Linked DNA regions of Drosophila melanogaster. The protein of the gene in region 1 interacts with the protein of each later gene in a pairwise test. Each region holds a gene or a part of one and is shown in the gene's direction. Other genes may lie near its edges. The genes, in order: Pp1-87B, NiPp1 and Nop17l.

Region 1 (3,755 bases):
CATGATTCAATTGATTATACTATTCCCAAGTATGGGTTCATCCTCACCAATATTGTCTGCCAATTCCTTGCCTACCAAGTCCAAGAAATCCTCCGCTGTCAGGCCGCTGGGTTCACTGACTTTAATGGCCATATCTGCCAATTGCAACCTGTAACCCTTATTGAGATTCCTAGCTGCCACAATAGATTTGCCCAGTTTATTTCGGCAGGGCAGCTCGCACGGCAAAATGGTTTTAGACTCAACGTGCTGAAGAGCTGCCTCTAGTTCCTCATCTCCATTTAACTTTTTAACTATTTCTTGTGGAGGCATGGGAACTGAAGAGAGTTTGAAGTTGGTGATGGCTGTAGTCAGAGCTTTTAATTCTTGCGGCTCTAGGGAGCAGCGATGATCGGAGCCCTTCTGACTCTTGTCCAGCGTAAAGTGGCGCTCCACTATGCGTGCTCCCAGCAAGACGGCGGCCTGGCTAATGATCACTCCCAGCTCATGACCCGAGTACCCAATTGCCACATTGGGAAAGCGTGTCCTTAAGACGGATATCAACTGCAAGCTGCAATCTTTTGGGTCAGTTGGGTACGATGAAACGCAGTGCATTAGAGCGTAGTCCTCTTTTCCTGACTCCCGCATAGTTTGCACAATCCTCTCCACAGTTTGCATAGTCTGCATTCCGGTGGAGATCACCAGGGGCAAGTTCAAATTGGCGGCCTTTTTGAGAAGCGGAAAGTTGTTTGCGTCTCCGGAACCAATTTTGATGAAGGGAACATTTAGAGCAGAAAGGAACTCCAACGATCTCTGTTTAAAATAGCATATACACACATTAATAACTATTTAAGCAAGAAACAAGGGAAAAAAGGAATTGTTAGTAGTAGTAATTGGTTAACAATTAATTAATATCAACCTCATCCATGGCGGAAGCCGTAAAGTCCACATTTAACTCCTTGCAGTGGGCCTGCAGCTGGAGATACTGATCTTTGGAGAACTCCAGGTACTCCTTGTGCTCCCCGTACGTTTTTCCCCAGGCGTGATCACTGATATATTCGCGATCTAGAGCGGATCTCGTAAACTTTGCTGGCAAATCCGATTTTTGAAACTTGACGCAGTGGCAACCGGCTTTTTTGGCCTCCCATATCATTTTCTTCGCTGTTTCCACACAACCTTGGTGATTTTGGCCAATTTCCGCTATAATATAGACGGAATCAACTAATTTTCCGCTTATGATATCGTTTAACAGCATTTTGATTAAATTGAAACCCGCCTATTTAACAGTTAATTAAATGATTAGCGGGCGTAGGCAGGAAATGCATAGAGTATCGAATTATCGATAACAAGACATGAGCACATTTCATACAAAATTTTTACATAGTGTGATTGTTAATATATCTATCAATATATTATTTAGTTTTGTGAGAATTTAAGGGAAATTTGGCATTTTAAATCATAACTCATGTGGAAGTTATTCCAATAAGGAAAATGAATTAACCTATGTTCTGTAAACGAATATTCTTATTGGCTTATTTGAATTTCCAATGTATTTAAATATCCCCTTGTTACCGGTATATCGAATAGCCTCGCCAAATGCATCAGTCTCCCATCTCTTTTCCACAGTAAGTCATGCCAGGCGTGCCTGAGTGCAAGCGGGATGGCTAGTGTCCCCCTGATCAGGCTGCCACACCGCTGAAATAGAGTAACTGGACGCCATGCGTTTAATCGATTACTAACAGCAGTTTCGAGCCACTATAGGGTCGAGAAGACCCGTTTCGAATGAAAATATAAAAGTAGAGCTATTGCGGAACTCTTGCAATGGATTGGAAATGTCCTTAATGTAATAAGAGTAATATTACAGCAACTTCGTTATCGATTATGCACTATATTTGCATGTTATCGATTAGATAAGATGGCGTCTATTATCTGGCCATATCCGCGACTTCCGGCAGTGTGGCAACATCAGCTAGAAGCACACTCGCCATCCCGCCCGCACTCACGCAACAGCATACGAAGAAATTTTCATACTTGTTAGCTGTGAAAAGTATTTAGCAGAAATAGATTTCGGAAATTAAAGATTTCGAGGCTATTTCGGCGCTACCAACGATCGTTCGCGGTAACCTCGACACCCAACAGCAGCACTAGTGCACCAGATCCACACTTTCGCACGCAAACATGGGCGACGTGATGAATATCGACAGCATAATATCGCGACTTCTCGAGGTGCGTGGGGCACGGCCAGGTAAAAACGTACAGCTCTCGGAGGGCGAGATCCGGGGACTTTGCTTGAAGTCGCGCGAGATCTTCCTGTCGCAGCCCATTCTGCTCGAGCTAGAGGCACCGTTGAAGATCTGCGGCGACATCCATGGACAGTACTACGATCTGTTGCGTCTGTTCGAGTACGGCGGCTTTCCGCCGGAATCGAATTACCTGTTCCTCGGCGACTACGTCGATCGCGGCAAGCAATCGCTGGAGACGATCTGCCTGCTGCTCGCCTACAAGATCAAATACTCGGAGAATTTCTTCCTGCTGCGCGGCAACCACGAATGCGCCAGCATTAATCGCATATACGGATTCTACGACGAATGCAAGCGTCGCTACAGCATCAAGTTGTGGAAGACATTCACGGACTGCTTCAACTGCCTGCCAGTGGCGGCCATTGTCGACGAGAAGATCTTCTGCTGCCACGGTGGTCTCAGTCCCGATTTGACCTCCATGGAGCAGATCCGTCGCATTATGCGGCCAACCGATGTGCCCGACCAGGGACTGCTGTGCGATCTCCTGTGGTCCGATCCCGATAAGGATACCATGGGCTGGGGCGAAAACGACCGCGGCGTTAGCTTCACCTTCGGTGCCGAGGTGGTGGCCAAGTTTTTGCAGAAGCACGAGTTCGATCTCATCTGCCGAGCCCATCAAGTCGTCGAGGATGGGTACGAGTTCTTTGCCAAACGCATGCTGGTCACCCTGTTCTCGGCGCCCAACTACTGCGGCGAGTTCGACAATGCCGGCGCCATGATGTCCGTGGACGATACGCTGATGTGCTCGTTCCAAATCCTCAAGCCAGCCGACAAGCGTAAAAAGTAATATCACACAACTGCAGCACCACGAGCAGTCTTTTTCTATCTAAAACAGATCAATAAGAAATCCAAACAAGATACAAAAGATAAACACGACAAAAACAACCACAAACCCAACCACACAATCAACCAGAAATAAAATCCTTTGAAACAACACATCAAATGATGCATGAAACGTAAGTATGGGCTGCTGACGCAGAGTAACAAACTAGTGAATCACACTCTCACCCCAACCTTATCTCTGTTTTTGGTCACTTTTATCATCGGCAGCCGGGGCGAGTCGAAATCCACAAGAAATTGCACCATTAATTTGGTATGGAATAGCAGCGCCACGATCAAAGGACATCCCCAGAGACATCCCTTCCAGCAGATGACTGCAGTTTTCCCCTTCCACCCCACACCCATTGAGATTTAAATCGCAATTACAAACACATTGACAAATACCATGATTAAAAGCCACATATTTATTTGTAATAGCCCCCGTATATATATATATATATGTATATCTACCGACCGACCAACCATTCACCCACGCACACACATGTACACACATTTGAACACCAGCGCTTTTATAGGTTTTGTCCAAAATTTAAACACTAGGTTAATCAACTGACCGTTCGAGCAGAGCACCAAGCGCATAACCATGCAGATTAGATGGAAACGGAGCAGCAGAGGAGCGACTGGACGCCAGTCGGTCAC
Region 2 (3,755 bases), on another chromosome or scaffold:
TACCATTGCTCTAGTTCAGCGATAAATAACTACAAAAGAAGCGAAATCAAAGTTGAGTATAGGACACAGCTACAAAAACAACAAATGCGAAGGATAGACTAACATTTGGCGTCGCCGGAGATGAGGCAGATCCGTGCGTCATTTCGTGGAGCTCCTCGTCGGTGTAGGTCTGGTTGGCAGCCTCGACCTTGTAGTTGAATGTCGCCGATACGGGCTTGTGGTCGGAGAGAGTGTAGTCCATGTGGGACTGATAAGACAGCTGGTTGGCACTCAGGGTAATGCCCGGATAAATGTTGCTCTGCACGCGATGCAAAATCCGATCGCACCAGGCGGGTCGCCGCTTCAAGTTGTAGTCATTAGTGCCTTCCACGAACTGCAAGGAAAATCAAATGAACTTTATATGGGTGCTAGAGATAAGGCGAATTAATTACATTCGACATATTGCCTCATAAATTAGTTGGATTTTGCTTTTCTCATGAAATCTGTGGAGCCGAATGAAGTGATTGATTGATGAAGTGATTGGCGGAAATTAAAAATTCAAGTGCAGATAAAATTAATTACACCCACCCCTATATACATTATTTAGATTAAGATTAGAAAGTTCAAGGCAAACTTTGACTGTAGAGATAATAAGATTGTATATTAGATTGTTACCTTAAAAGTGGGCGCAAAGTTGGGCTGCTGCTCCTCCAGCAAGCTGAAGGCGTTTCCCTTCTCCCGGAGCAGATTCAACTGGTCGAGCTTGAGCAGATCAGCGTATCGCTGGTTCTCCACATCCGTGCGGACATCCCAAGCGGACATATCGCCGGAGAGACGGAAGTTAAGATCGCCAAACCAAAAGACAAAGTCGTGATCGAATATCCGGCGATATCCCTGCGCATTGTACTTGTGATTGTCCACGATTTGGTGATAGTCTTCGATGCGCTCCTTCAGCTTCTCATCGTGCGCCGCCAGATGGGAGCAGACGAATGCGACGCCAGTTCCGTAGAGCGAAAGTCGAATGCTTACGGCACCCTTGTTGCCCCACAGCCCTCCAAGTCCCGTGCGCGTGGCTTCTGTCTCGATTTCTTTCATGTGCGGGATGTGCTTGTGCTGTGCGAACATGGTTATAAGAATTCCCTGCAGCTGCTTCGAGTCCACCTTTACGAACTGGTGATCGCTCAGAGAGTCCGCGATCTTCAGCACCCACGGATCGTCATTGAAGATTTTTAGCACCTGCGGTGTGGTGCTCACCTCCTGGAATCCGATTACATAGATATCGGGCAGCTGGTTATCCGGACAAGTGGTGGTGCCATTAAGGGACAAAAGGGAGCTCAGATCCTGATTTCGCGGCGTATGGGTGCCCACGTTCCAGGTCAAAAGGAAGATGCACAGATCCGCAATCGCCGTGGCCGTAACCATTTTTCCGCCGTCTAATTATCTATGATTAATACTTGTTGTTTTGGACGTCACAAGGTGGCTGTTGATGAGTTCATGGGCATCCAAAACAGGTTTACGGATTTGGCAGCATCAGCAAATAAAGCGAAAGGCGTTTTGCACACGCAACTTTCATTTATGTAACCGTTAATTCTTCAGCACTAATTTTTTAAGCCGCTTTAATTGGACTAGGAAGCGCTAGTTGCCCGTATTATTTATAGAATACTCAGATGTCGTTATTTATGTTTATTTGTCCGTCCGTTGCGTGAGCTTAGTGTGACCGCAGCACAACTATTTAAATATACCTTAGGCGGCGGCAAAAATTTTATGGTATCTCGATAGTAACGGAGCTCTGAAGCTCATCGAAAACATCGGCTAACATGAGCTTCTCATCTAATTTAGATTTTTATTTGAAACACATTAGATATTATAAAAGCCAAAAATCAATTTAAGAAATATAAAGATATAAGATTAAAAGTTGTACTGTGCGTAAGTTCCTTTAAAATAATAATACTCTTATTTCATTGTTTTTTTTTTTACGCGAGAATGCCCCTTTGCATTTGCTTGTGCTAAACCGATATTATCGGCAACTAGTCAATTGTGTGTACACACTGGCTAAGGATTTTTCATAAAAATAAACACTTTGTATAAACTTACCTTCCGAACTATTTTACTTAAGTTAAAAGTATGGCTAACAGCTACGACATACCCAGTTGGTGCGTTGTCAAATTCAGCCGCTGCCTTGCCACAAAATCACGTAGCATTTTATTTATTTTAGGGCTGGAAAACCGCCCACTGGCTTACATCTGGATGTGCTAAAGGACGACAAACTAGTACAAAAACTGATGGTGGATGAAAAAAGATGCTATCTATTTGGTCGCAACAGTCAAATGAACGACTTCTGCATAGACCATGCCTCTTGTTCGCGGGTCCACTCGGCGTTTGTCTACCACAAGCACCTCAACATAGCCTACCTCGTGGATCTGGGGTCCAGTAGGTACTAAGATATCTGGGATTCGGAGTAAGCTTATCCATTTACTTTTGACAGCTCATGGCACCTTTATTGGAACACTCAGATTGGAAGCGCACAAGCCCACACAGCTGCAGATTAATAGCACCTTCCACTTTGGGGCTTCTACCCGGAACTACATACTCAGGGAACGACCCTCTGGCCACCACAGCAACATCATGGAAGACCTGCCGCTCAGTGAAACCAGCGATGGAGCTCTCCTGGGCCTACCCGAAAGCCAAACGGAGCTTGATGTGCGTTTGGTTGAAAAGAAAAGCTAAATACTATGTAAACTAACCTTCCATTATCCTGCAGAATCTCACAGAATACAACACAGCCCACAATCGGCGCATCTCAATGCTGGGCATCGATGATGATACCAATATGCGAAAGCAAAACGCCTTGAAACAGGGACGGCGCACTCGAAATGTCACATTTAACGATGAGGAGATTGTCATCAATCCTGAGGATGTGGATCCTAATGTGGGACGCTTCAGGAACTTGGTACAAACCACTGTGGTGCCCGCCAAGAGGGCTCGCTGCGACGTCAATCATATGGGCATCCATTCGGGCAACAGCAGTTTGTCCAGTGCCAATGCCGCACATGTACACCAAATGTTCCAGCAGAGCCTAGTTGACATGAAGCAGCAGCATAGGGAAATGCCTCCGCCCAATGCGGTGCTCCACTCGCCTACTAATTCCCTATATCAAGGTCTACCGGCCGAAATGCATGGCAAGGGTGACCTAGAGCCCATCTCCCCGCTGAGCATTGGTTCCAAGTTGGGCCTATTGCTCCCGAATCCTGCGCCTGAAGTGCTGCCAGTCTATGACGAAGCTGTGGAGACCTCGACATTGGCTCAAAAGTTGGCCGTCGCTAATGCAAACGGTAATAGTTCTCGCGACTATTTGTTTAAAAACTTACTGATTGTTTATAACACCATTTTAGTTCGTCGCTTTGGTGAGGATCCGCATGACTCGAGTGGCGAAGGCGATTCGCTGTGCCCACAGAAAAAGAAATACGCCAAGGAAGCATGGCCAGGTCGCAAGCCCATGTTGGGGCAGCTGTAATTGCGTATTAACAAAATAATTAAGATTCCACCTACGATTTTCTCAAGCATATGATTGACAACACACTCTGGAGTAATATTTGTTTATTAGACTTTTAACGTAAAACAAAACATTTAATATCTTTATCTGATCACATCTTGCAGCTGTGTGGATACCTGGGGAAGGGTATCACATCACGAATGTTTTTAACGCCCGTGACAAGCTGCAAGTAACGCTCAAAGCCCATTCCAAATCCTCCAGTTGGAACTCCTCCATACTTTCG
Region 3 (3,755 bases), on another chromosome or scaffold:
CAAATAATCTGTTGCTCACCTATATATCTCTGTCTCCCGCTTCCAGGACTCCTCGTCGCGACTGAAGAATATCTTCACGGCGATGCTTTCGCCATGCCAGTGACCGCGCCAAACCTCGCCGTATTTGCCTCGTCCAATGCACTCGATCAGGGTGACCTGTTTGGCTAGCGTACGCTGCACTAGCAGCGGCAATCCGCTGCCCGAGCCGGAGGTCACCGAGTGCTGCAGATACTCCCTCAGCGTACTGTCCCCGGCGCTGGTGGCGCGGAGCAGCTCATCATTGACCAGATACGCTTCCGGGTCCTGTTTGGTTCGCGAGGCAGCCAGACGCTTGCGATGGCTACGACGAATGAAGAAGATGGTCACGGCGCCCAGCAGAGCGATGACCAGAAAAGGACCCAGAACGGCGACGAGCATCTTGCTTATGCTACTGGTATCCGCGGTTATCACCGTCACATCATTGCTGTCGAAGGGCAGCAGTTCCGGAAAGTCTCCCTCATTGCAGTAATCACCGGCACAGCAGACCACATTCACGAACTTCCCCGTATTGCGTTTACTGGGCCCGTTGATCTTCAAGGAGTTCTGGCTGCAGATCATGGGCAGTTGATCCGGCGAGGTGCTGCAGCCGCGTGACTCCTGCACCTGACCATCGGCATCGCGTGTGCGCGACTTCCAGCACTGTTGAAGTTCGGAAATTAAGTTACATTTAAGTTTTAATCAAGTTTAAGGTGGAGTATTCACCTGAATCGCATTCTGGCAGGTGTGGGTAAACTCATAGGGATCCCGACAGGGCGGCTCGCAGGAGTAGCATTTGTATCTGATAAAAAAAAGAGAGAGTTTAATAAGATTGAAGAAGAATCGGTTACGCAAACGGGCAGCTTTTAATTGTTAACATTTGGGTATAAAAGTATAATATACTATAAAATATTTAAAAAAAATGGGGTTTTTTAAGTAAAATTATGAATATTTTCAAAATTTTAACTAAAAGTTAACCAGTTTATGATGTTTTAGTTCATGAGTCGTGTAGGTTTTACCTTCTCTTCATGCGGCGCTTACTCTTAATGTGTCTCCTAATTAAGGATTAGCAGCATGGCAATTAGGAGGGAAATGAGATTAGCAATACAAAGCCTTTGGGCGGAAGCGGGAGCTACAAGCTATGGGCTCAAGACTTAAGATATAATCACCTGGGATGCGTCTGCACCGAGTTCTGTGGCACGGCCGGTAGCTCCTTGCCATTGAGATGGGCGGATGAGGCGGAGGAGAGCTCCATGTCTAAGTCCGGTATGTCCTCCCGCAGATGATCGCTGATTTCGGCTGAAACATAACAAATGCACATTAAACCATATGCACATAGCATATACATATGTACACACATGGACGGCCCAACCAACACAAACGCCACCAGCACTAACACACACACACACATGCACACAGGCGCCCCAGCAAGTTCTGTATACACACACAGAACGGTGGTGTGCGTGGGTAAATCATTGAGAAAATGCACTTATGCTGCAAACGCCCACGACATCCGTTTATATAATACATTCTGTGGGATCCATCAGGTGCTTCTTTCACCAATCAGCATTCCGAGGGCACTTTTTTCGCCTTGGCCTGGCCAAATACGCAACGCAATTGGCCAGAACCGCAGCATATGAAAACAAACCCAAAACACTCAGTGACTTTTCAAGGCATTATATGTGGCTCTAAAACCCCATAAAATCGAAATTTCTCTTGCGCACTCTCTTCACCAAGCACTTGGTAATTGATTAACACTAATTGATGCCCACCTCTGGCATTATTGTACAGCAGAAACGTCAATAGAAAAACTAAATATATATTGGACTCCATTGCTAGAAATGTTATTTGTCCGAGCCTATCGGAACCTATCGATATACTTCTAGCGGGCAGTGTGACCAGGGCCCACATCTGCACATAACATATTTCACATAAAATACCGGGTCTTCAAATTTCCCAAATCCCCTGCGTAAAAATACCAAAGCACAACACGCACACCAACACGAGCAGCCGGTCAGCGGAAAAGTTTCTAGAACGTCAAACTCGAACTCCCATCAAAGAGTCTTTGGCAAAGGAGCCCATTTAACAGACAATTATTTTATTCAGTGCCGTTGTGTTCACAAAGCATAATTGTGTTCAATTTAGGTAAGTGGAGAAGCAGGAGATCTTCAGTGGAGGAGTTTTCGTGCCATTAAGTTGTTTTCCTGAGTGAAATTAACGGATTTACCTACCCGGTGTCATGGAATATAACAAAACATTTGCTTAGTTAGGGTTTTCATGTCCACTGCGACCGGTTTGTCCAGAAAATCAATGGGTTTCAGCTAGTATCGATCAAACGACAGAGTTTTCCCCCTCCCACAGCGCAAACATGTGTTTTTAGTCACGTAACTGTTATAATTTTCCTCGTTTTCCTTGCAATGGAGAAGATACACACGCCGTAGGGAATCATCTTACTGACCCCCCAATTACCACCCCCGCCCTCCTGCACATATATGTATGTACATAAGTTTGTAATATCAGTTGGCAGACGCAATACAAACATTATCTTTGTATATACATACATATGTGTGTAGAGATGTGGTCGTTTATTGTACAATTAGTTGGGTTGCGCCAGAAATCGCATAATGTGTGTGTGAGCGCAGGGGCTGCGGGGGCAGAATCCCGCTAAACAAAAACAATTGGGGCAAGTGGTTTTTTTCGCGCTTATCAAAAGCCCCTCACTGCGCAGAGGACGCTCTCTCTGTGGGCCGCTCGACTCGCAAAGAGCCTCCAATATTTGCCGGCGTTTCGGGCGTAGCGCTCCCATTCTCATAAAAACGCTCGTCGGGAAAGCATCGCACCAAAACTCGAAAAAAAAAACAGAAAACATTTACGCGTTCTCCTAGAATTTCACAAACTACGCAGTTCGTTTATTTATTTATTGGCCGACAAGTAAAAAAAAAACTCGTGGTCAGTTTGTAGTCATCTACACACATGTGTATCTACTTACATAATGCCCGTAAATCCGGCGGATAGCCGGTGATTTTCGACAGCGACCTTTCTGCGTCATTGATTTAATATTTATTTGCCTATCTGCTGATTAGAATTTGATTAAATGCCAGCTCGGTGTTTTTTTTTGGCTGCGAAATGGTCAGGACCTAGGGCAACCTTGGGACCTGGTACTTACTTGGCTTATCTCAGATTCGATTGGAAAGTTTCCAGAGTTTCGCCAGGTTCCGCAAGATTTAGTCATGCCCTCAAGGTTTATTTGCAAAACTATAAAATAGCCAGGTATACATAGAACTTACATATGTATAGCCGAAACAGAAAAACTAGTAATTTTTCCCAAACGACTTGTCTTGTTGTTATTGCAGTTATACATTCGTAATATAAGATAGCTGATTATCTTACAAGATTGTCCGTACTTACATCTATGTTTATTTGTACTTTCAGAACCTTCCAGAAATAGAAACCCAACGCATTTGCCAAGGAAACGTGGCCCAAAACTGAGCAACCCCTAACAAATAGAAACAAACAAAAAATCAAAACCCGTCGAAGTGATAAGAAAATTTGTATTTGTGTAGTAAAAGTGCCGAGGAGAGAAGAGGAGACCGAAGAGATCCCTCCGTGAGTGAAGTGTGCCTGCGAGAAAGCTATGTCCGCATCTAGATCGCGTAATAAACAATCCAAACTTTGTGACGATGAGCGGCTCGATATAAGCAGGGACGAGTTCAACCGATTCCAGGAGGCCTTTGGCAAGG

The links.
Region 2: the proteins of Pp1-87B (region 1) and NiPp1 interact in a two-hybrid assay, tested with the Drosophila melanogaster proteins (3 studies listed by BioGRID).
Region 3: the proteins of Pp1-87B (region 1) and Nop17l interact in binary tests that used the Drosophila melanogaster proteins (3 or more experiments, as listed by UniProt).

What each region holds. Positions count from the first base shown.
Region 1 is NT_033777.3:12,424,088-12,427,842, reverse strand, and holds the start of Pp1-87B (protein phosphatase 1 at 87B), read left to right. Parts: upstream 1-1,925; 5' UTR 1,926-2,154; coding exon 2,155-3,063; 3' UTR 3,064-3,232; intron 3,233-3,326; 3' UTR 3,327-3,755. Other genes in the region: NANS (N-acetylneuraminic acid synthase), read right to left, coding at 7-789, 896-1,231. UniProt on the Drosophila melanogaster protein: Is essential for the regulation of mitotic chromosomal segregation as well as regulation of chromatin condensation during interphase.
Region 2 is NT_033778.4:17,003,407-17,007,161, reverse strand, and holds NiPp1 (nuclear inhibitor of protein phosphatase 1), read left to right. Parts: upstream 1-2,012; 5' UTR 2,013-2,103; coding exon 2,104-2,132; intron 2,133-2,194; coding exon 2,195-2,409; intron 2,410-2,464; coding exon 2,465-2,679; intron 2,680-2,740; coding exon 2,741-3,311; intron 3,312-3,371; coding exon 3,372-3,493; 3' UTR 3,494-3,599; downstream 3,600-3,755. Other genes in the region: CG6805 (uncharacterized protein), read right to left, coding at 47-373, 655-1,401; AsnRS-m (Asparaginyl-tRNA synthetase, mitochondrial), read right to left, coding at 3,624-3,755.
Region 3 is NT_033778.4:7,804,631-7,808,385, reverse strand, and holds the start of Nop17l (Nop17 like), read left to right. Parts: upstream 1-2,000; 5' UTR 2,001-2,160; intron 2,161-2,819; exon of another isoform or gene 2,820-3,285; intron 3,286-3,447; 5' UTR 3,448-3,649; coding exon 3,650-3,755. Other genes in the region: sax (saxophone), read right to left, coding at 20-678, 742-817, 1,035-1,070, 1,185-1,314, 1,788-1,848. UniProt on the Drosophila melanogaster protein: Required for cytoplasmic pre-assembly of axonemal dyneins, thereby playing a central role in motility in cilia and flagella.